Mus musculus: one gene and its partners. The protein of the gene in region 1 purifies or fractionates together with the protein of each later gene. This does not show direct contact. Links are inferred from orthologs where the notes say so. Each region holds a gene or a part of one and is shown in the gene's direction. Other genes may lie near its edges.

What was found.
Region 2: the proteins of Myh9 (region 1) and Ube3a purify together in Homo sapiens (affinity purification with western blotting; 3 studies listed by BioGRID, with this or other methods). This does not show direct contact. The link is inferred for Mus musculus from reciprocal best matches to the Homo sapiens genes MYH9 and UBE3A.
Region 3: the proteins of Myh9 (region 1) and Usp11 purify together in Homo sapiens (affinity purification with mass spectrometry; 3 studies listed by BioGRID, with this or other methods). This does not show direct contact. The link is inferred for Mus musculus from reciprocal best matches to the Homo sapiens genes MYH9 and USP11.
Region 4: the proteins of Myh9 (region 1) and Enkur purify together in Homo sapiens (affinity purification with western blotting; 4 studies listed by BioGRID, with this or other methods). This does not show direct contact. The link is inferred for Mus musculus from reciprocal best matches to the Homo sapiens genes MYH9 and ENKUR.
Region 5: the proteins of Myh9 (region 1) and Gsk3b purify together in Homo sapiens (affinity purification with western blotting; 4 studies listed by BioGRID, with this or other methods). This does not show direct contact. The link is inferred for Mus musculus from reciprocal best matches to the Homo sapiens genes MYH9 and GSK3B.
Region 6: the proteins of Myh9 (region 1) and Sptan1 fractionate together in Homo sapiens (co-fractionation; 3 studies listed by BioGRID and IntAct, with this or other methods). This does not show direct contact. The link is inferred for Mus musculus from reciprocal best matches to the Homo sapiens genes MYH9 and SPTAN1.

Annotation. Positions count from the first base shown.
Region 1 is NC_000081.6:77,772,676-77,776,175, reverse strand, and holds part of Myh9 (myosin-9), read left to right. Parts: intron 1-241; coding exon 242-373; intron 374-895; coding exon 896-1,102; intron 1,103-1,481; coding exon 1,482-1,619; intron 1,620-2,117; coding exon 2,118-2,241; intron 2,242-2,732; coding exon 2,733-2,904; intron 2,905-3,500. UniProt on the Homo sapiens protein: Cellular myosin that appears to play a role in cytokinesis, cell shape, and specialized functions such as secretion and capping. Required for cortical actin clearance prior to oocyte exocytosis. Promotes cell motility in conjunction with S100A4.
Region 2 is NC_000073.6:59,227,394-59,231,549, forward strand, and holds the start of Ube3a (ubiquitin-protein ligase E3A), read left to right. Parts: upstream 1-1,356; 5' UTR 1,357-1,878; intron 1,879-2,296; exon of another isoform or gene 2,297-2,407; intron 2,408-4,156. UniProt on the Homo sapiens protein: E3 ubiquitin-protein ligase which accepts ubiquitin from an E2 ubiquitin-conjugating enzyme in the form of a thioester and transfers it to its substrates.
Region 3 is NC_000086.7:20,702,749-20,706,708, forward strand, and holds the start of Usp11 (ubiquitin carboxyl-terminal hydrolase 11), read left to right. Parts: upstream 1-1,160; 5' UTR 1,161-1,219; coding exon 1,220-1,371; intron 1,372-3,960.
Region 4 is NC_000068.7:21,202,566-21,206,527, reverse strand, and holds the start of Enkur (enkurin), read left to right. Parts: upstream 1-1,162; 5' UTR 1,163-1,379; coding exon 1,380-1,456; intron 1,457-3,962. UniProt on the Homo sapiens protein: Adapter that functions to localize a calcium-sensitive signal transduction machinery in sperm to a calcium-permeable ion channel.
Region 5 is NC_000082.6:38,087,501-38,091,800, forward strand, and holds the start of Gsk3b (glycogen synthase kinase-3 beta), read left to right. Parts: upstream 1-1,500; 5' UTR 1,501-3,025; coding exon 3,026-3,113; intron 3,114-4,300. UniProt on the Homo sapiens protein: Constitutively active protein kinase that acts as a negative regulator in the hormonal control of glucose homeostasis, Wnt signaling and regulation of transcription factors and microtubules, by phosphorylating and inactivating glycogen synthase (GYS1 or GYS2), EIF2B, CTNNB1/beta-catenin, APC, AXIN1, DPYSL2/CRMP2, JUN, NFATC1/NFATC, MAPT/TAU and MACF1.
Region 6 is NC_000068.7:30,010,560-30,014,059, forward strand, and holds part of Sptan1 (spectrin alpha chain, non-erythrocytic 1), read left to right. Parts: intron 1-139; coding exon 140-239; intron 240-350; coding exon 351-548; intron 549-626; coding exon 627-773; intron 774-2,886; coding exon 2,887-2,990; intron 2,991-3,116; coding exon 3,117-3,279; intron 3,280-3,500. UniProt on the Homo sapiens protein: Fodrin, which seems to be involved in secretion, interacts with calmodulin in a calcium-dependent manner and is thus candidate for the calcium-dependent movement of the cytoskeleton at the membrane.

The DNA of each region.
Region 1 (3,500 bases):
CTAAGTCTTGGGCCTATAAACAGCGCTGTCACGGGCATCTTTATGCACGCGTAGACGTGGTTTCCGTGCAGCGTAATTAAGCGAATCAGAGGCCTGTTGCATGTTGTACCAGACTGACTTCTAGGAAGGCTGTACCTGCTTGTACCCCCTCCCCAGGTAGCAGGTCGTCTCTAGAGCTTGCATTCCAGAGGTGAGGGAGCTTCTAGGGGTGGGCCAACTCTGCCTGTGTCTCCTCTCCCAGGTCAAGCCCCTGTTGAACTCAATAAGACATGAGGATGAGCTGTTAGCCAAGGAGGCGGAACTGACAAAGGTTCGAGAGAAACATCTGGCTGCAGAGAACAGGCTGACAGAGATGGAGACGATGCAGTCTCAGGTAGGTGTCAGTCTCCACCCATCAATCCCAGCTGCGCTCAGTGCTGCCCCCTGCTGGTCACCGTCAGGCCGGCTAGCTTACTGCTTAGAAAACCTTTGCAGTCAAGTCCAGTGGGAGAGCAGTTGTCAGCCGGGAGCCTGAGCCATAAGCACCCACCCTGGAGCTACTTGAGGGGTACACACCAGCTCTGTTGCTGTGACAGTGTGCCTAAGATAAGTCACTTAAAAGGGCTGAAGAGACTCAGCCTGTGGTCAGGCCCCTGCTGAGGCCGAGTGCCACGACAGAGAGTGGCGGAGCAGAGCGGCTCACTTCTTTGTGCTAAGGAAGCAGAGGGAAAGAAGGGGCCAGGACTCCAATATTCCCTGCAATGATGTGTGCCAGTGGCCTCTGCTCTACAGCTCTCAGCAGCTAACAGTGCCAGCCACTGGCAAACAAGCCTTTCGTGCCAGCCTCGGGGGACATTTCTTATCTGGACTACAAGGAGGCCGCAGGGAACTTAGCCTTTGCACGTGTTCTTTGCAGCTCATGGCAGAGAAGCTGCAGCTTCAGGAGCAGCTGCAGGCGGAGACAGAGCTGTGTGCCGAGGCTGAGGAGCTCCGGGCCCGTCTGACAGCGAAGAAGCAGGAGCTGGAGGAGATCTGCCATGACCTGGAGGCCAGGGTGGAGGAGGAGGAGGAGCGCTGCCAGTACCTGCAGGCCGAGAAGAAGAAGATGCAGCAGAACATCCAGGTACCCCTGCTCCTGCCGGGCAGGGCGGGCACAGTGTGGGCAGCCAGGGGCACAAGATAGGCACACAGGTTCAGTTACCACATCAGCCTTCTTTGTCCACCTGTTTGCGACAATCACTCAGTGTCCACGGCTCACATCTCCGTGAGCGCTACCCATTGAACGTTGAGGCCACTGAGTTTCTCTCTCTGGTCCTTCCTCCATCAGCCTTGGCACAGGCCTCTTTGTGGCACCCTGGGAACACTGTTGAGACTATGTCAGTCATGTGCCCCAGTTCACATGCTGGTTTCCTGAAGAGGGATCAGACGTGTGTGTGTGTGTGTGTGTGTGTGTGTGTGTGTGTGTGTGTCCTCCGTCCTTCTCACGTCTCCTCTCCCTTTAGGAACTTGAGGAGCAGTTGGAGGAGGAGGAGAGCGCCCGGCAGAAGCTGCAGCTTGAGAAGGTGACCACCGAGGCCAAGCTGAAGAAACTGGAGGAGGACCAGATCATCATGGAGGACCAGAACTGCAAACTGGCCAAGGTGGGGCCTGCTGTGCATGCAGTCATGGAGAGGGTGGGCAGAGCAGGGCCAAGACCTGCCTACCTGCCCGATCCCCCGCGGTGCCGTGGCTCTGTCCAGCAGCACAGTCCTCCCGGGCACACAGGCCCCTGGGCACCAGCACCATGTGCAGAGGACTTTTCTCATGAATGAGGAGGTTGCGGCAGGGGCTTGCCGTTTTTCCTTGGCAAAGGTCTTTACCAGCTTTTAGGATTGAGGAAACTCCAGATGGCAGCCTCTTAGTAGGGCCAGGGGTGGGGCTGCTTGTCCTTTCCCTAAACTAGTTGACACCTAGAAGTCTTTCCTACTTGACCCCAGGAAGTCTTGGATACCCACATTTGTTGTGTCTATGAACTTGGCCAACTCTTTAAGGCCCTGCCTTACCCTTGATCCATACATTTCTGGTTGAGTCTTCCTTTGGAAGAGCTAAAGTATGTACCTAGCCAGCACTGAACTCTGACATTCTTCCTCCACCTCCAGGAGAAGAAACTGCTGGAAGACAGAGTAGCTGAATTCACTACCAACCTCATGGAAGAGGAGGAGAAGTCCAAGAGCCTGGCCAAGCTCAAGAACAAGCACGAGGCAATGATCACCGACCTGGAAGGTGAGACGCTCTGGCCGTGAGCATCCTGTCCACGCAGAGCACTGAGCCCTGTGCACTCATAGGCGAGCCAGGCTCAGCCTAGGGCTAGGCCATTGCCTTAAGGCAAGGCTGTCAGGCTTCAGGGGCGCTATCTGGTTCTCCGGGAGTCAGGGCTGCAGGCTCACTGCTGCATGGCCGGACGGTTGCCTGTGTGAGGGGTGATAAGCATGAAGCTTTGATATGGCATGTGTTGGGCACAGCCATTTTAGAAGCTGTAGGACTTTTGACAGCAGTGAAGGGAAGAAGGAAGGAACCACAAACTCCAGGTGCTGTGTTGCCATGGGGACGCGCAGGCCTTGGTAGCTTCTGGGGTTCTGTTTCATCTCAGAATTGGAAGTGGGCGTGTGCATGGTGTCCCTTTAAACAGTCCATGTGTCCTACAAGTACATAGTGTTTGGTTTCATACAAGTAATTAAGGCTCCCTCCGTGTCCCTTCCTGCCCTTCCTGGCAGAGCGCCTCCGTAGGGAGGAGAAGCAGAGGCAGGAGTTGGAGAAGACCCGTCGCAAGCTGGAGGGAGACTCCACAGACCTCAGTGACCAGATTGCTGAGCTCCAGGCGCAGATAGCAGAGCTCAAGATGCAGCTGGCCAAGAAGGAGGAGGAGTTGCAGGCTGCCTTGGCCAGGTGAGGCTCTGCTCCTAGCCAGTGTCGCACGTGCAGTGGCTTCCCTCTCGTCTCATTTTTGGTGCTGAGCCATGAGCGTGCTCTCTTCTTCTGTGTCAGAGCCAAGAGCAAGACACTTCTGATCCACAGACAGTGTGTTCCAGAGTGTTTAATCTTCACAAAAGCCATCTACAGCCCATTCTCTGTAGTCCTCCCTCTCCTCATTTCCTGTAGTCCTTCCTTCCCTCCCCATTCTCTGTAGTCCTCCCTCCCCATTCTCTGTAGTCCTCCCTCCCTTCCCCTTTCACCCATTTCCTTTCCCACTTCCCCTCTATGGTCTCCTGTCCCCTGCTCCTTCCCTATTTTGTGGCTATAGGCATATATTAAAAGTCATTTTTTTCTCTTTAATTTTTTTTTTTTACGTTTACCTGTTGGGGGTGGGGGGTTGCCTAAGGATTATGTGCTGTGCTGCACATGTGGAGGTCAGAGGGCATTTTGCCTGAGTCCTCTTCTGCTATTTGTGGGTCCCAGAGATTGAGCTTAGCCCTCAGGCTTGGTTGCAAATCTGCTGAGCCATTTCAGTTCCCTGTGTACATTTCTTTTTAAATAGCAACTTT
Region 2 (4,156 bases), on another chromosome or scaffold:
CATGCTGCAACAGTTTATGTACTTTACTTTTCTTAGCAGTCTAATGATTTTCAGTTTTGGTTTTGTATTTAAATAGTTTGCAAAGATAACTCTTTAAAGGGTTACATTTATTACTGGCCCCTTTCATATAATACAATGGTATTCCAAATGAGGATCTTTAATGGATGGAGAAAAAAAAAGAATAGAAAAAATTTAAAGTATCTTAAAATCTGATATAACAGTTGCACTTATTATTTATCCTGTAATAGTTTACACACACACACGCCTATTATTTTTTAATTTTAAAAAATTGCAAGCCTTTAATCCCAGCATTCAGAAAGCGAATCTCTGAATTCAAAGCCAGCCTGGTCTACAGAGTGGGTTCCAGGACAGCCAGGGCTTCACAGAGAAATCTGTCTTGAAAAACCAATAATAAAAATATTTTTTATAGTGGGGAGATCTTTCATATATATATGATGTGTATATATATATACACACACATACACACACATTATAGGAGCTGTAATAAACAGAAAAGCACATTAATACATGTGATTGTTACATTTTGAGCACTAGATGATTAAGGCTTACTAAGTTGCAAGCCAGGAAATAACATGTCAGCTAGTCTTTATAATAATTTAGTGTCAAAATCATTAACAACAAACCTAAGTTAAACCCTCACTCCGGTACCAACAAGTCACATGGCTCTAACAGGGTTCGGGTGTTCTGTAAATCAAAATTAGTCTCTATCCACGTGTGATCAAGCAAGGCGGTTTCTTCTCAGTTGACATCTACTGGAAGACAACACAGGAGGGGCTGGGCTTTTACCTACTAGTCTGGTAAGCCAGTGACATATCATGTTCTGGCAGAGGCTGATGGCCTTGTTTGCTGAAAGGTTGCCCAATCTCAACGCCTGAATCCTTTACTCGGACAGTTCGGATGAAAAGTCGTAAGGGTCAGCTCTAGCAACAAAACGCTTCTATGCCTCCTCGTGCCGCCAGTAGGCTACACCCTCTTGGCCTATTCGTCCCTCTGACTCCTGGGCTTTGCTAGGCTGGGTAGACCTGTCCGCTCTCGCGAGTACACCGAAGCACACTGGTCTATAGATTGAGTAAAAGGAGCAGAGGCTAAAAACACCAAGCCTCTCTCAGCCCAGTCTCAAGATGGCGACGATGCTGGCCAGCTTCCACCCAGCCCAAGGCCATCTCCCCTTCCCAAAGGCCCCTGCGCCGCAGGCGAAGGCGAGCTAGAGGAGGGCCCCACAGAGCTGCGATCGGGGCGGGGCAGAGCCCGTCGCCATCCCACGCACGCGCAACCCCGCCTCGCATCCCGCCTCCGGACTCCGAGCCCTCGCCCGGCAGGGTTGGCGCGCGCTGCCTGTCGGGATACTCGGTCCGCCCACCTAGTCCTCTCGTCCAGTGCTGCGTTCGCGAGATCCGTATTTCTCCCAAGATGGTGGCGCTCCTCTTTGGGTGACTCCAGGAGACGACAGGGCCTTTCGTCTTTGCCAGCACCTCGTCGCCCCTCCTGCGCTCGCTCTCTCGCTCGCGCACCGGGCCACGCAGCTGTTCACCGCCTCGTTACGCTTCTCTTCCGTCGACCTGTCGCTGACGGTGGCGCCTCCTTCTGCTTCTCTTCGGAGTTGCTCGCCGCCCTCGCCCCCCACTGTGGACAGATCGCGACAGCAGCGCTTCAGCGCCGACTTCAAGGTTGCCCAGGCGCCTGGCCTCTCGGCCTCGGTTTCCTGAGGAGAAGCGCGGGTCCCGCATGAGACCCGGCGGTGGCGCCAGCGAAAGGGAACGAGGCGGTGGCGGGCGGCGGCGGTGGACGAGGGCGACAAGGACCAGTGAGGCGGCCGCAGCTGCGAGGGCCGCAGCCCACGCGCGGGGGCGAGGACAGGTCAGTGCTGCTGCGGCTGCGGCCTGCCCGGCGCGCTCCCTCTGGTCTGTACCGCCGGTCCCCTCGTCACCCTCCGGCCCGCGCTGACAGGGTAGGCGCCGGGCCCTCACCCGCCTCCGTGAGCGAGTGCTTGGGGCGCGTGGTCTGGAGGGGCCGGTGCCAGGACTAGGCCCTGGTGGCTGCGGCTGCTGCAGCCTTAACTGTCAGTGCTGGCTGGACGCAGGAGGGAGGGTTTTGTCACCCACGGGTACCCGAGTGGGCCCGGGGTGGGGCGGACGTGCAGGGCGTCGAGATCGGGGGCCTCATCTAAGCAGAGATCGGAGAGCCAGCCGTGGCTTCAGGCTGCGAAAGGCAGGCCTTTTCCTCCAAAGGGGCGCTCTGGTGGGGAAGACATATTTAGATGTGTGCTTAGTGGGTTGGGGTATTGGGGGTGGATTGGAAGGAAGACGGATGAAGCGGCACCTCAAGCCCAAGGATTGCGCTCTGGTTTTATTCGTGTGCTGCTTCTGGTAGGATTCAGTAGTTGAACGTGAGTTACTGATTCCTCAGAAACTGCTGTGTTAATTTTCAATGCAAACCTGTAAGCAGTTGGCCTCCTCCTCTTCTCCCCTCCCCCTTTTCAGTTGAGAAAATGAAAAGGACGTTTTCCCCATTTTGATGCGGAGGCTTTTTGTTGGAAGAATCAGAGTTGAATGTGCTATAATTGCGTTAGCCTTAAAAATAGAAAGTATAATTTTAATAAGACTTTATCAGCTTTAGAAGAATCCTCTAAAGACAATTTTACGTCAATTTTTTTTATGTCTTTTGAGCATGCTAAAATAGAACAGTATAAAATCTCTTTGGGATTGCGTTAAATAGCTAGTGTACTGTTGGAAATGTTAACTAAATAGTATATGGGATGTGTTATCCACCATTATCTTACTTCGTGAAGGATATTCGTATAACCCATGGTTTTGGGAGAAGCAGCAGATTATGTTAAAATGTTTTGGATAGGGAAGTGCGTTTGAAATAAAGATGGCCTGAACTTTAAGAAATACAGCTGTTAAAAAGCTAAATATCAAAGCCCTATTGGACAAGAGACACGACGAATGTTTTTGACACACCTCAGATTAGTTAATACTCTTAAGATATCTTTTTGGTAAATTATGTAAATTTAGAATTGAGGAGAGATAAAAGGAAAATTTTGTCTTGTTATGTATGACAGAAATTGCTTTAGTATTAAATTCTCCTCTTAAATAGACTGCTTACTGCACTTTTAAGGAAGTGGATACTGCATCTGTATTGCTGATAAGCCTAAGTAAGGATGACTGTAAATCCATAAATACTTAGCTTTACAAAAAAGCCATGTATCAGAATCTGTAATAAAAATGAGAACTTCAACAATTCGCAGTCTATCGTTTAAGAAAGATACAGCACATAATAAAGATGAGATGACTTGTAGTTTTGTTTTCAAAATCAGAATGTAGGTTGTGAAATAATTTGTGTCAATATTTACCTTGCATGGTGTGTTGTGAAGTGGTATACACATACTTCTTTGGATGTTGCTCTTCATATAACTGAGGAGCTTAACTTTGAGTTTAGAAAATTCCTTTTGTATGCAGGTTTTGTAGGTGGCTTTTTTATCCCTGAAATAGCCACCATCACCCTTTTTTTTTTTTTTTTTTGAGAAAGGGTCTTATGGTATATCGCTGGATGACGTCTAACTCTCCTCTTGGCTTTGTCTCCAGGGTTCTGCGATTAAAAATGTATACCACCAGGACCGGCTATTTACCCTTTTTATGGTTTTAAATTAGAAAAATGTGATTTCTACCTGAGACAAAACTCATTCTATTTGATTCGTTTTTTTTTTTTTTTTTTTAACATTGCATTCATTAGGTATCTATAATGTCTCTGACATGTAAATTTTATTCAGTTGTATTTCTTAAACATTTGTGTCTTCCCTCAAATAATTGCAGTAATAATTGTTTCTCTCAATTTTTATGAACATTTTCTTTTTAATTGGCCATAGCTATTTTTTTTTCTGTTCAAGAGCTTAAGATGATCTTTTCAAATGTCCTTTAAAAAAACCAACACCTTAAATGAATGGTTACTGGTATATTATCATTTATTCTAATTAGGTTTGTTTGTTATTATTGATAATATTACTGTTAATGGATTTATATTATATTTATATGCAGCTATTAAAAACATCAGTGTTCTGATTTTTGCAACTGGAGATGAGTTTTAAGAGGTGGTCTTTTAAGTACTTTCAAATACGGAAAAACAATATAAAAATATA
Region 3 (3,960 bases), on another chromosome or scaffold:
CCCTCTGAATAATTCCACTATATATGCATGAAAATGAGAGTGAAGATACTGCAGAAAGTCTTGATTTTGTGAAACCTCCTGAGAGGGTTTCCTGAGCTGATAGCATGTGACCACAGTTTGAGGATCTGCCTGGTGTTTAAGGACACAGCTCTGGAACTAGGTCTGCCGTGCTATGGCACATCCTAGCTGAGGACAAATGATTTCACATTTCTGGCTCTCAGTTTCCCACATTGTTACTCATGGGCCAAAAACAATACAGTTATCTGCTACCCAAGGCTACTATTTAAGTCCAGCAAGTCACTTAAACTGGACAGACTCAGTATTTGTTATGCTTCCAACAAACACACAGATTTGTCTGGTAACTCTAGTTCAGGAAGCTGAATGTTGAAGTGCATGCCTGTATTCCATCACTTTGGAAGCTGAGGAAGGAGGATCAAGGCAAATCAATTGCCAGCCTGGGCTTCATAGAGTTGGAGGAAATTCTGGGGCAATTTAGCAAAGTCCCTGTCTCAAAGATAGAAAAGACAGATGACACACAGACAATCACACAGAGAGCCACACCCTAGTTCAGGCTCTCAGGAGATGATAAACTATTTGAGAAAAAAACCTTTTATTTCATGTATATAAATGTTTTCCCTGTATTCATATATGTGTACCTTGTCCATTTCCGCTGATCCTCAGGAACCTGTGTTATGGATGGTTGTGAGCCACCATGTGGGTTCTGGGAATTGAACTCTTTCTTCTGCAGGAGCAATGAGTGCCCTTAACCTCTGAGCCATATCTCTAGCCCATACATTTGGTTTTGATGGATGAGAAAGGTAATTCACGTTAGGCTAACAAAAATGCCGCTTTCATAGTATGGGTTTGCAGTTAAAGGGGCAACTATTTGCCCTAAGCATCCTTTGTGAGGCCCTAAACACATATTTGCTCATTTTGGAAACCTCTGGCCTCCACCAAAGGACCATTTCACCTGGTGTTAGAGAATTCCACAAGGCACTAATGTCTTAGTTCCAAACAAGAGAGTTAACCCCTGGTATTGGTTGCAGAGACCACAGACCACCACCCAATTTCCGCCAAATGGTGACGTTTCCAAGATGGCAGTAGCCCCCTGATTGTTGGGGGGCTCTGCTTCCGTTTCCGGGACAGAATCCGGAAGTGCCAGTTGAGGGTCGTCTTCCTATCTTCAGTTGCGTCGGCAGTTGGAGGAGGACAGACGGTGATGGCGGCGGTCGCAGCGGACCCAGCTGCAGCTGCCGTCCCGGCCTCTGCTGAGGACCGAGACACACAGCCCGAGGCAATGCCAGACCTGGATGAACAGTGGCGCCAAATCGGGAATGGGCGAGAGCGTCCACTGCGAGCTGGCGAAAGCTGGTGAGGCTGGGCTTCAATGAAGCCTTGGCCAAGGGGACCTTGGGGGCGTTAGTATCGCGGGGTACTTAGAAATCAAATTCTGAGGATGAAGCGGTGCGAGGCTGGGAAGGGGCTTGGGCCGGCGGGAGAGAGGGGGCGTGGAAGTGCTAAGTGAATGAATCTCAACGTTTGGGGGAAAAGGCGGGGCCCGAGTGGGGCAGTCAGCCGCCTAAGGACAAAATGGGGTTTGTGATAGGGGTGGGGCGTGAAGGGGATGGCCGTGGGAGTCAGGGGACTGCATCGTTTGGGGAGGGGGTGAGAGGGGACTGCGTCTTGGAACCTGGAGCCTGGAAAGGAGGCTGGCTCCGTACTTAACGCGGGGGCGTGGCGTGTGTTACAAAACGTTGCGTCGGTTGCAAGGAACGGCCTACAAGTACTCGAAGCGCCTGTGAACCCGACGAGCTTGGTGGCGTCCGCTGAAGAGCAACTCCATAGCCTATAGCTGTGGGCCGAGGGGCGGAATAGTGTGGTATGGGGAGGGTGCCTGGCTCCTGGGAACAAGGCGAAGGGCTGGGGAGGGGCAAACTGTGGAGGAGGGGCAGTGCCTGGGGCAGAAAATGGCGCCTGCAAAAGAGCAAAGATTGTGACGCGGTATTTTTTTTTGTTGTTTTTGTTATTTTTTTAATACCCCTCTAGTTAAGGTCTCCTTCCTAGAACAGGAGAAAGTGCAGGTGGTTTACAAAAGATTATTTGGGGAGTTTTTTTTTCCACGTGATAATATTTTTGTAATCAGAAATGGCTATTTAAAAGGGATCCACAGCTTTTAACAAATTGTCTTGTTAGACCATTTTTTTTTAAATGCTAATCAATGCCTCTTAAAATTTACTGCTCCCCGGGTTCCTATTTCTCTCTTGAGTTGCTGCTCATTTTTAATTGTGAAAATCGTAAGACCTACAAAGATTATAGTATAAAACGTTTTACATAAATGGACATCCTGCTGAAAGAAATGGTTTGTATGCTTCAAAAATGGCAAGGTCATGAAAGGCATACGCTGAAGAACTGTTCCAGATTGAAGGAATTAATGCAGTTTAACAAGTCTATGCAACACGTGATCCTCATTTGGATCTAGCACAGGAAAAATAAATTATTTTTAAAAATGAGGGTTCTTTCTCATAATTTATTTCTCTTTCACTGTAAATTTTATTGGAAAAAAAATCGGTGAAATTTGACAAAGGCCAGTAGATAAAATACTGGTACTGATAATTTCTTGTGATAATTGTAATGTGGTTATGAAAGAATATCCTTTGGTGAAAAAATACATACTGAAATTTCATAGATAAGGAGCCATCGTGTAAACAACTTACCAAATAATTATATTAAAAATGCACATGGGAGGGAGAAGATTATGGAAATATTGGTCATAGGATGTAAAATTTAGTTAGACAAAAGGGAACAAATTCAAGAGCTCCCTTGTACAAAATGGTGATTATAGCTAATAACACTCTATTCTATACATGAAAATTGCTTAATAGATTTTACATGTTCTTACCCAAACAAACTGTGTGACATAATTGGTTTGTTAACTAGTTTGATTTAGTGTTTTACAATGTATATATCAAAACATGCTGTATACTATCAATGCACACTTTTTTTTGTCTAGTTTAAGATAAATGAAAATACCCCAAAGATGATATGGGGAAAAAAAGAATAGAACAAATGGATAAGGTGTGTTAGATTTGGGGACTCTAAGGGCATACAGAGAAGTCTTTATATTATTCTGCCCTCTCTTTTTAGAGGCAGGGTCTCTATTATGTGGTCCTGGCTGTCAGGGAAGTAACTATATCAGGCTGGCTTTAAACTTAGAAATCTGGCTGAGATTACAGGCATACTCCACCATGCCTGGCTTTTTAAAAACCCATTTTCAGTGAGTTTACTTCAAAGAAAATTTAGTAAATTTTATATGTGGATTAATCACTCATGTGAAGATTCAGAACATTACCTTAAAACTCGTATGCTTTTCCCCTCCATCTTCATAGGAAACTGTTATCCTAAATTTTGAATTAAAGGGCTCTTTTCACATTTCATTATCATAATAAACTTCCAATATTCATATATATGTGAATATACACATATATATGAACATGAGTGTTTGTGAAATAGACTGTGAGCCCTTATATTCCATGGTAAATAGTATCTGTATGATGTAATTTGATACATTAACCTTGACCTGTTGGTCTGCCAGGTTTCTCAAGTGTTAAGATGCTGCTGTTCCCTTAAGCAGTAGTTTCTTAAATACATATTTAAATTTTATTTATATTTTCTGTCCATCTGTACCTCAGGATATCCAACAGCTTCTTGTTTCATGCAGTATAAATGGTAAAGTCCTCAGTGACCTGCAAGGCTTTTGGAGACTGGTACCCCTTCTCCATTCTAACATTTCTCTGATCTGATTATCAGCCCCCAGGCCCTTCCTCTCTCCATCAGGGACACCCACATTAGACTATTGCTGTTCTTTACATTTAGGGCCTTTTCCAGGTTTTCCCACTTTACAAAGTTCCTAAACAACACTGCCAGTGAAATGTGTATACATTACTGGGGAGATAAATTACA
Region 4 (3,962 bases), on another chromosome or scaffold:
ATCACCCCACCCCAAAAGATTATTCATCTGAACCGTGGGCTGCCCAGAAAAAAAATAGATAAATTCTATCAAACCGAAAAACGGGAAACTAAATTGTTTCTTTATTCTTATCGAATAAAATTTAGCAGAAGCCTCCAATCACGACTTGCATTGAGCGAGGCCTTCCAAGTGAGGACTGAAAAGTTCACTAAGCCACCAGGCCATTTAACCCAGCCACCAGGCAGTGAGAATTGAAGAACTGATGCACCTGACTTCCCTGGCAGGGCAACTGCCAAGTGGATTTAGACCCACGAAATTTCCTCCCAAATCCCAGGGCCAAAGGATGTGACTGGGTGAAGGCTTTCAAATGAGAGTGCAATCACAAGTGCATATGCATGAACGGGAGATCAAACAGCTCAAACGAAATATAAGCACTTCTCGGAGAGGAAAAAAACAAAAACATGTCAAAAAGGGAGTCAAGGGCTGAAACCTGGGCAAAATTCGAGGCCCTCTTCCAAAGGCTGGTCCTCCTGGCGCCGGGTAGCGCTCGCGCACGCACCGTGGAGACAGAGCACCGCAGGGCCCGCCGCAGGGTCCGGTGCGACAGGTGGATGGCAAAGAGAGGCCTGATGGGGCACGACGGAAGGGGGGATGCTAGGGTAACAACTCTCGCTGGCTTTCCATTCCTCCTCCATTAACTCACCAAGAAAACCACCCAAAGAAGAGGAAAGAGAGAAAGGGAGAAAGGGAAGCGCCTTCGGCACCGCCTGGCAACCTCAGCCGGCAAGCCCGCCCCAAGCTGCTGCTTCTGCGCCTGCGCTGACTGCGCGCTGCGCCACTAGGCCAACCACGTAACCCAGACGCCCCGCCCATTACCCCGAGGCTCCTCCCCTTCCCCGTCGATCGCTCCACCTCCGCAGGGGCGCGGCCTGAATGTTGGAAACTATTATGTGACGCGTGCGTGTCTGTCCTGCTCCCTATTGTAGAATTTTTCTTTCCAGATGTACCGAGGAAAACCACAAAATGTTTGGGTGCGGGGGGGGGGGACAATGTTTTCATGTCGTCTTTTCCAAAGACGCAGGAACGTCTTTTTCCTTACGTTTTTCTCAGACAGAAGAGGTTACAAAAAAGGAATCAGATAAAAGCCAGGTTGCCCCGTCTCCTAGCAACTGTTTCCTTAGCAACCACGTGGTCAACAACGCTAAACAGACTCGGAGCAGAATTATTTTCTTCCTGAAAAAGGGACTGTTACGAAAGGGTCAAAGGGAAATTACACGAAAGAGAAATTTTAGTTCTTTGATAAGAAAGTAAGAAAAGAAAAAGGCGGTGAGAGAAGGAGTTGAGACAGTGGGAAAGTGAGCCAAAAAGCTGAGTACTTGTTAAGGAATTCCTTGGTGGCCATGGACTCACCCTGCACTTCCGAGAGTATTTATAACCTCATACCCAGTGACTTGAAGGAGCCGCCCCAGCATCCTAGGTATGTGGGTAAGCAAAAGCGATGACTTCAGCCCAGAGGAAGATCGTTGACCTCTTTTAAAGACTTACGGGGCTGACTTTTACATTTAATCTTGGGTCGCAACTTCTTAAGACCAGGTGGACAAATCTAAATAGCGTTTCATATTTCACAGAGAAAAAAAAAAAGTGAGCTAGTGTTGTCAGACGTCCATTTTATGATCATAGCCCCCCACTAATATGCAATTATTAATTTGGTTTTAGGTGCTGTGTATAATGTGAAATTCCATGTCGTTGAAAAGAGGGGGAAAAATCTGTTTTATCCGTCCGTTTTAGGAAATCTGATGTTTAATTTAGGAACTCAATGTTGTATTTGACTTAGGCACTCTTTTGCCTCCCGTAATTTGTGTCTAAATTGAATTCTCATTTGTTTCTAGGCCTCAGTATTTCAATTGGTTTAACAAAAATGATGGACTAGAGAGTATGTCTAGGATTTTTACAGATCTTGTGGTTTAATGAAAGGGGTACAGTTGGATGGATGGAAATTCCAAAATATATAACTGAAGGAAATTCTTATGTGTTTGTTATATTTCTGAAAATCTCCAAATCTGAAAAAGGAAACTTCAAAATAAATGTCCCAGATACTTGGCCATATAGGTATTTTGTAAACTGTATTGAAGTCTGAGAGAAGAGGGCAGTCCCATGCCTCCTAGGAGTTGGTGATTTCTGTTATTTACCTTTGTCTTTTGACTTAAGAAAGTCACAGCCACTTTAAAAGAACCAGCACTCAGGTGCGCATGCCTGTTGCGGCACCCAGGATGCTGATGGGGAGAATCTGAGTTCAAGGCTAGCATGGGCTACAAAGACAGACCCTGTCTCTAAAACCAAACAACCAAGAAAAAAAAAAATCAAGAGTTACCAGTTATTATTATTGTGGAGGTCTACAATCAATTTGCACTTGTTTTCTGATTTGAAAATAAGTGAAGTAGACATTCGGAGGTTCCTTCCAAATGTAATGGCCAATTTTTTATGACGTGGAGTGGTAACAGCAAAGTGTAGGTCCTTCCATTTTAACTCAAACTGAATAGGCAGCTTATATCAGAGCAATCATGATATTGTATTTCCCTTGCTTATCAGCTGGGCATCTCTGGGGAGGAATGAAAATGCTGACACCGGTGTGGAGTTTGCAATGCTCACATTACTTGTAGCTGAATCAACTTTTGGTCCAAAATTCCTATGTACTGTTGAAGATAAACTTCCTCCTCTCTGTAGCACACTGGAAGAAACTGCCTTCTATGGAATACTGAGTTTGGATGTTAAGATATTCTACTAGTTCAGCATTTTGTTAAGTGGTAAAGAGCTTTAATGCACCTGGGAAGTTTGTTGTTTGTTTGTTTGTTTGTTTGTTTGTTTGTTTTAAAGGGGATTCATTTGGCCCCTGTTCTGTGTCTAACTGTGCCCCAGTATTCTTGCGCATGCTAGAGTGACAGCATAAATTATAAATTCCTTGGTTTATTCCTAAAAAATAATTACAAGACAGACTTAGTATAAGAAGGAATAAAGGGGGTGCCCTAAATGATCCTGTTATGATTTTGACAAGATGCCACACAAGCAAGCTACTGATTTGTTGTTGTTTTAAAGCATGATAAAACATTTCATCATGTTTCTTCACCACACTGCTACAAACTTTCTTCCCTTAGTCTTCTCACTAAGATGCTTAATAACAAGAAGATATTTAAATGTACGAGTCCCTCTTGCATCATTGAATTATAATCCAAGTTCTTGGAGAGGTTGCCACACCTGTAAGGCACTGGCAGAGACTGATCACTAACTGATCCCAAACATGATGTGCCACACCATGTTTGTCAAACAGAAGTGTTCTTGTCGAACAGAAATAGAGCATTAAAATGTTGATTAACTGCAAAGAAATATATTACTTAAAACCCTAATGGAAGTTTCAAATAAATGAGTGGAAGAGATACTTCAAAATATCAGTTTTTGCTTTCTGCCTTATAAATGAAGAGAAGGACATAATATGCAAACAGAATTTTGACAGCAAGAAAAATTGCAGCAGACATGTTTCATCCACATCACTGCCTCTCGCCCACACTTCTGTAGATAACATACAGTCAGAACTGTTGGCACGCCTCACTGGCATTCTGCAGGCAAACCACTGGAGAGAGGAAATGTGCCAACACTACCAGTTAAAATTAGCTGCCAAGGAAATCTGTAGATAAGTCAACCTGTTCAGTACTTTATTTCATTAGAGAACAAGGTTTACCATTCTATGCAAACAACCCTGTATAAGAGAAGTAACAATGTTAGGAACTTAGGTCAGTTTATTAGATTCACCAGAATTCAAAAATTTTGGACGTAAGACTGCATTTTTATCTTACCCAAGACTCTGGAAAAACAGTGTTACATTGATTTACTTTAAAATGTTAACCCAATATACATGTCAACAGCTACAGTGGCAACTGATAATACCCACAGAGTCATGTCCAACTTACTAGTCGGTCTGGCATTCCGGG
Region 5 (4,300 bases), on another chromosome or scaffold:
TTACAAATTGGCTGCCTGTCGGGCACATTTTCCTGGGATTTTTTACTTTGTTGGTCTACGTGGTTTCGGCATATCGGTTGCCAACACGTCAGATTTAGAGATCACACATAAAACTTCAACGTTATGGTTTTGGTAATTAAAAAAAAAAAAAAAGGAGAATACGATTATTTTAATGGTGGACCCCCTTAAGGGCATGGATGGAACTCCCGTTTCCACATCATCTAACATTCCTATTGTCTTCCACCAGGCCGGTGTCATTCGCTTTATTTGCCAGGCCTCTACAGACATCTGAGTCTGCAAACACTATCCAGACCTTTACTGGCTCCCTTCAAAGCTTACTTTGTTCTGTCCCAAGTCCCTCATCAGATTTTAAAGCAATAGCTAAGCAATCTGATCAAGTACGTGTACTTTTACATGTGCTTTCTGGAGATAGCATCTCAACAGAAAGAGATGACTATGCGGGTGGGTATTACAAGTATCACGGGATTACAGTCAGGATTGCCAGTGTCCACTCTAACTTACTCTAGTCGTAGTAGCCACGCCACACAGCTCTCGGATGGACCAAGGCAATGGTCTCCTTTGTAGAACAATGGACGCTGGACTACATGTGAAACCTACTTAGGCAGCAGTGTGCTGATCATCCAATAACACTAAAAACTGCTGCGAGCAATTCTGACTTGAGCTTCCTCCTAGGATTCGAGGTACTGTCCTGACCACATTTCCCCTCACCTGTTTTCGGGGCTGCTTTTGCGCTGGACAGTCGCGCCCATGGACCGCGCTCATCTAGCATGAGCTCATCTCTCGGGGGCGTTTCCAGAAGGCCTGGTCTGGCCTTGTGCGCCTGCTGCAAAGGGCTCCCCCCCCCCCCCCCACGAGATCAGCGGCCCCCCGCGATGGGCGGGCGCGGCTGCCCAGAGGCTCTCCTTCTCTGGAAGCTTTGTTCCCATTTAAGCGCTAGAGGGTTCGGCCCCGGCCACGGCGCCCTACGTCTTTCAGAGAATAGACGTTCTCATAGGCTCAGCACGCGCGGTGGGGAGCCTCGGGCGCACTTGGTAAGCCGCGCCCCGCGGAGCTCCCGGGAATGGGGACGGCCTCACGCCCCACTAGAGCGCTCGGGGCCCGACCCTCCGACCGCAGCATTGTCGGACCGGGCTGCACAGCCAGCACGAGCGTCGGCTCGGAAAGCAGATGCAGGCCGACCACTCATCCCGTCCGCCCGCTTAGGGACCACCCGAGGCCAATCCCACTGCAGCTAGGTCTTGCGATTGCACAGCAGTGAGCGCCTATTGGCCGCCGCCACGGGCTCCTGCACCCTCCTTCTCCCTTTCGAAGCTCCCCTCCCCCCGCGCTCCAGCTCGACGCTGCAGACCAATGAGATGGCACTTTATAGGTGCCCTCCCTCCGCTTTCTTCTTCTCCCCGCCTCAAAGAGGGAGGGGAGGCTCTGACTGGCCCGATGTCCTCGGAAGCCCCCTTCCCTTCACCAATCACCGAGAAAGGTACACGCCCAGCGGAGTTGTCCAGCCAATGAGGAAACGGGCGCGGCGCCCAGCCGTGCAGTTCCTCCCGCGACTCGGGAGTTTCGCCGTCCTTAACTCTTGAGGCTTTTCCCTGAGGGCCAACAGCTCTGATTGGCCACTGTCGCTATTGTCGACTCTTCTCTCTAGCCAGCCACAGGACAAGGAGAACCCTCTTCCCTTCTGTTCGGCTACCTTCGGCATTCCTCGTTGCTGGGGCGTGGTCTCCCAGCGGCGTCTCCTCATTGGTTATCCAGGTCGCTCGGCTTTTTCCGGCAGGAGCTGCAAGCAAGCGACGTCTCTGATTGGTTCCGGCTTGGGTTTCGGCTCTACAGCCGAAGCTGGCGGGCGCGGGCTCGGCGAGCGATTCCCAGACGCCTGTAACGCGGGCGGCGGGGCGCTGGGCGGTGTAAGGGCTGGGTGGGGGAGGAAGGAGGCGGAGGACGAGTAGGAAGGGGGAGGGGGAGTGGGGAAGGGCTAGGCGGCTGCGCAGACGGCGCGCCTCGCACAGAGCAGCCCCCGACCCGGCCGAATGCGGGCTTGTGTCGCCGCCGTCGCCGCCGCCTGGGCCGAGTGACAAAGGAAGGAAGGCAGCAAGGAGGAGCCGGCCTTGCAGCCGCTGACAGGGCTTCGGGCTCCGGGCACAGCGCGGACACTTCCCGAGCAGCCGCTGAGCAAAGGCGAGGGGCGGAGGCCGGCCGTGCCGGGGCCACGGACGGGGGAGGGGACCCCGAGGGACGGAAGCGGTTGCCTGGTTCCCATGTCCCCGGCGTATGGGGAGCAGTCAGGGAGCCGCTGCCTGGGGTCTGAAGGGAGCTGCCTCCGCCGCCGCTGCCGCCATGGCCGCTGGATCCAGCCACCGCCTGCAGCTGCTCCTGGCGCAATGAGGAGAGGAGCCGCCGCCACCGCCCGCCGCTGACTCGCGACTGCGCTGCCCTCCGGTTCACCCGGCCGCCGCCGCCGTCAGACCGCCGGATCCCGCTGCTGCCGGAGCCGCAGCGTTTGCCGTCGCATCTCCGAGCCATCTCCTCCCTCCTTCCCATCCCCCTTCTCTTCAAGCGTGAGGCTCGTGATCCTTCCGCCGCTTCCCTTCTTCATTGACTCGGAAAAAAATCCCCGAGGAAAAATATAATACTCAGAGTACTTATTTTCAATCAAGTATTTGCCCTCGTTCACGTGATATATATATATTTTTAAGGATTCCACTCCACCCTTTTTCTCCTCTTCCAGGAAAGGGAGGTGAAAGAATTGTATTTTTCTCCCAGCTCTAAATCATCTATGTGTTAAATATCCGTACCGATCTGTCTTGAAGAAATACATAGCTCCTTTTTTTTTTCCTTCTTCTTAAATAGCTATACAAAAGGAGTGAAAAGCCAAGAGAACGAAGTCTTTCTTTCTCTTTCTTGCGGGAGAACTTAATGCTGCATTTATCATTAACCTAGCACCCTAACATAAAACAAAAGGAAGAAAAGGATTAAGGAAGGAAAAGGTGATTCAAGAAGAGCCATCATGTCGGGGCGACCGAGAACCACCTCCTTTGCGGAGAGCTGCAAGCCAGTGCAGCAGCCTTCAGCTTTTGGTAGCATGAAAGTTAGCAGTGAGTATCGATTTTATTTTACACCCTTCCTCCACCTTACCATTTAGATAAGAAACCTCGAAATACCAGGATCTTACACTAACAGACCTGATAGAACAGTCAGTGGTCGTGGAAAAGGGCAAAACCAGCCTTGAGTCAAGAAGAGGCAGGCTCCTTTTCCTCCTCCCATTCCCGTACCCCCTCCCCCCGCCTCATTAACCTTGGATTGAGAGAATATTAGTTTTATTTGCCTGATTGGATTTGAAACTTCTTTTCTTACGTTCTCCGTGCTGCTGGTAGTCTTTTCAAGTGCTCCAGTGCCTCCGGGTTAAGCGATGGAAGAAGCGTTCGCTTGCCCATCCCTTTGAATAAAGAAGAGGAGGACAAGGCTTGATTAATAAACCATGATGTACATTTGCCGAGTCCTTGTCTTCTGGAATGAGGGAGTTTATCTTAGTTAGCTCAGGTTATCAGGGTTCTGTATTCAAAATAGAGATATTAAATGCCCCAGCCTCCTAATATTTCCTATTTGCCCGTGTGACTACACAAAGTATTTTTGAATCTGGGGATGAACTTGCTTGGTAACCCACATTGCCGTTGGAGGCAAGCTAGCATCCATCCCTCACTCGTCTAGGGGTGGTGGAAGCTGATAAATATCCCGCAGCAGTCGCATCTCTAAGTGCATTGTTTTCAAGTGGTTTAATGTGTTATCTCTTAACCTTCCTGTTTTGACATTACCAATCTGCCACCATATAATTTGTTTAATCAAAAGGTAACTTGGAAGGAGATTCAACTTTTGATTGAGGTTGTATTGTCATTTTGCCACAAACTAAGTTAAGTGTTGTCACTGACTCCTCATTTAAGTTTAATTTTGAGGTGGCATTGCATTTATTACTTGTTATTATTATTATTATTATTTTTAAGAGTACAAGAGGATACCCTTTTAGGATAATTTAAAATGTGTCAGTATCTGTCAGTCTTTCCCGGGGAATCTGTGCTGAAAAAAAAGAGTCTTGTGTTCTTGAAGTGTTTGGTATACTGAGTATCCAGTGTTCAAATGTATCTATTTGTGGAGATGTTTATGTGGTATTTCATGACAGCTTATTAGAACATAGTTGCAGATTCTGGCCAAAATATCCATGTTGTTTTCCTTATTCGATGAGAAAGAAGAGGGAGGACACAGATAAAACTGTTTTGTTGCTGAGAGG
Region 6 (3,500 bases), on another chromosome or scaffold:
AACCCAGTCCTATTCAATTTATGTCTAGGTTAACCTAAAATAATCCTCTAATGCAGAAGAGATAGAACTGGTTCCTAGACAGAGGCCTGCTTGATTCCAGATAGTGTAGTAAGTATTCCTCTGTGAATCTTGTTTCTAGGGACCTCATGTCTTGGATCAATGGAATACGAGGGTTGGTATCTTCAGATGAACTAGCCAAGGACGTCACTGGAGCTGAGGCTTTGCTGGAGCGACACCAGGTAGGTCCTGCTGGCCTAGTGGCCTTACCCGTCCCCGTCTTGGGAACCAGGGCTTGACACTAGTATGGGCATCTTCAGCAAGTTATCTAATCCCTTTACTCCTCTTGGCAGGAACACCGGACAGAAATTGATGCCAGGGCTGGCACTTTCCAGGCATTTGAGCAGTTTGGGCAGCAGCTGTTAGCTCACGGGCACTATGCCAGCCCGGAGATCAAAGAGAAACTTGATATTCTTGACCAGGAGCGCACAGACCTGGAGAAGGCCTGGGTCCAGCGCAGGATGATGCTGGACCACTGCCTGGAGTTGCAGGTATGTACACTATGTCTCATCAGGTATTTTCTTACAAGTGGCCAACTCCTCCTTCACACCTACTTGTCCACTCTGTAGCTGTTCCATCGGGACTGTGAACAAGCAGAAAACTGGATGGCTGCCCGGGAGGCCTTCCTAAACACAGAAGACAAAGGAGACTCGCTGGACAGTGTGGAGGCACTGATCAAAAAACATGAAGACTTTGACAAAGCTATCAATGTCCAGGTAGGTCCTGGACCTCGAGGTCCTAGTCTGGATTTGTCCTGAGTCACATCTTATTTGTAGCCAGGAGTACATAGTGAGAATCTTTCCCTTAAACAAACAGGTGCAGTAGAGTACTGCCTACTATGCTTGAGGGTCCTGGGTTCAATCCCCAGTTCTGCAAAAAAGCTCACACCAACTAAGATTTTCATACCAGTTACAAAACAGAAACATTATATTGGGCTGGCTACATGGCTTCCTGGTTAAGAGCACAGATTTACTACTCTTGGAGAGGAATTGATTTCAACTCCCAGCATCCTCAAGTGGTTCACAAGTACATGTAACTCTAGCTCCCGGGGTGCTTATGTCTCTCTCTGCTGCGGGCCCCCACACTCAGCGTTTACATGTGCATGAACACATACCTGTAATGAGAAATAATTTTTTTAAGAAAAAGTATATTCTGTCATACATCCAATGAATACTTTCAATGAATGTTGTGAAAATGTGTATATGAAGAACTATTTTTAAAAATGGGCCATATGTGGTAGCACATCTTTATTCCTGCAAGTACTGAAAAAGCAGAGACATGTAGAGTAGACATATGTCTGGAGGTTGAGGCTAGCCTGGCCTACATAGCCAGCTCCAGGCCAGCCAAGGCTACATAGTGAGACCATGTCTCAAAACAATAACAAGAAACCTCGAAATAGCAGCTTGGTGTAACACTCCTATAATCTCAGCATATGGGAAGCTGAGGCAGAAAGATGGAGTTTAAGTCTGGGCTATGTGACAAAACTGTTTCCAAAGAAACAAAAAAGGAAAGTTTACAACCCAGGGTTAGAGCACTGTTGAGTGTGCTGCAGACCCTGGGGTCATCACACGGTCACAAACAGCGAGCGCTTAAATCCTTGGGTGAAGCCGGGTGTGGTGGCCCACGCCTTTAATCCCAGCACTCGGGAGGCAGAGGCAGGTGGGTTTCTGAGTTCAAGGCCAGCCTGGAACAGAGCAAGTTCCAGGACAGCCAGGGCTACACAGAGAAACCCTGTCTAAGAAGAAAAAAGGGGCGGGGGGTCCTCAAATCAGTTCTGTATTATGGAATGATGACACAGCTGGAGCTCCCTGGTACAGTACTTGCCTAACATGAAACTTGGGTTCAGACCACAGCCCTTCAAAACATAATAATGGAATAGAAAAAGTTTAAGTTGTTTATGAGTATTTGTGTGCAGGTTTCTAAGTATACATAGCATGTGTGTGCAGTTCCCTCAGAAACCAGAAGATAAGTAAGTGATCCTGTAGGAGTAGAGTAGAATTATAAGGAGCCACATGGTTGCTGGGGATAAAACCCAGGTCCTCTGCAAGAGCGGCAAGTGCTCTTAATGGCTAAGACATCATTCCAGCCCCCCAGATTTGTTCTATTTTGTATTTTGAAATGGGGGTCTTTCTGGATAGTCCTGCCTACCCTGGAAGTGGCTATTTGAAACAGGCCTTGAACTCACAGACACAAAGATCTGCTTGCCCCTGTTGGGATTAAAGGCATGTGCCACCATACCCAGCCTCCCTTCCCCTTCCCCCAAAAAAATATTTTTTGTAAGATGTATTTATTATATATGAGTACACTGTCATTGTTTCACTATCTTCAGACACACCAGAAGAGGGCATTGAATTCCATTACAGATGGTTGTGAGCCACCATGTGGTTGCAGAAATTGAACTCAGGACCTCTGGAAGAGCAGTCAATGCTCTTAACCACTGAGCCATCTCTCCAGCCCCCACCCCCAAAATATTTTTAGGGCAAAATATTATGTTTTGATAACATAATTCACTAAAACAAGGAACAAAATAGATAGCTGTAACTTGAAAACCATTTTGTTGAAAACAGGGCAGTGATCATTTTATGATTCTAATTTGTTAGACATCTGCTGGTGTCCCTACACTTGCACACCTCAGTATGACCTTAAGTCCTCTTGAATTAAACCCTACTCTAGTAATGATGATAATCAAGCTGGCTTCTAAAGTGTCGATGTGTTCCGATCCTGCTACCAGTTAGTTTCGTCACTCAAAGTGTAACTATCTCCTCTGAAAACTATCAGGCTGACAGGCTTTCTTCAGCCCACCCTGACCTCTTTGCCTGTTGCCTTTAGGAAGAAAAGATAGCTGCCCTGCAGGCCTTTGCCGACCAGCTCATTGCCGTTGACCACTATGCCAAGGGAGACATTGCAAACCGACGCAATGAGGTCCTTGACCGGTAGGTGTCCTGCGATGGTGACAGTCCCCAGCTCTGAGAGGATGAATGTCCACATGTGAGAAGCCATACCTATTCCAGCTTCTTCTCTTATTGGAAAGAACACTCATATTTGGTCTTCACACTCAGGTGGCGCCGCCTAAAAGCCCAGATGATTGAAAAAAGGTCAAAACTTGGAGAATCTCAAACACTTCAGCAGTTCAGCCGGGATGTGGATGAGATTGAAGCCTGGATCAGTGAGAAGTTACAGACAGCCAGTGATGAGTCATACAAGGACCCCACCAACATCCAGGTAAGGGGCTCCTAGGACACTTGTTCTGAAGTGCCTTGTCACTGAGTAGAGCTGTTAAATGGGACTCTTTAAGGGAGTACACCTATAAAACTGTGTGTTCCATGATAAAGCTTAGAAAAAGTCCACTGGGTCAGTAGAGCCATTTGAAAGCTGCTCCCTTGCTAGACTTTGTCGAAGCTATAACCTGTCTAATGGAGCTGCCCCTGTGCTGTTCCCATGCG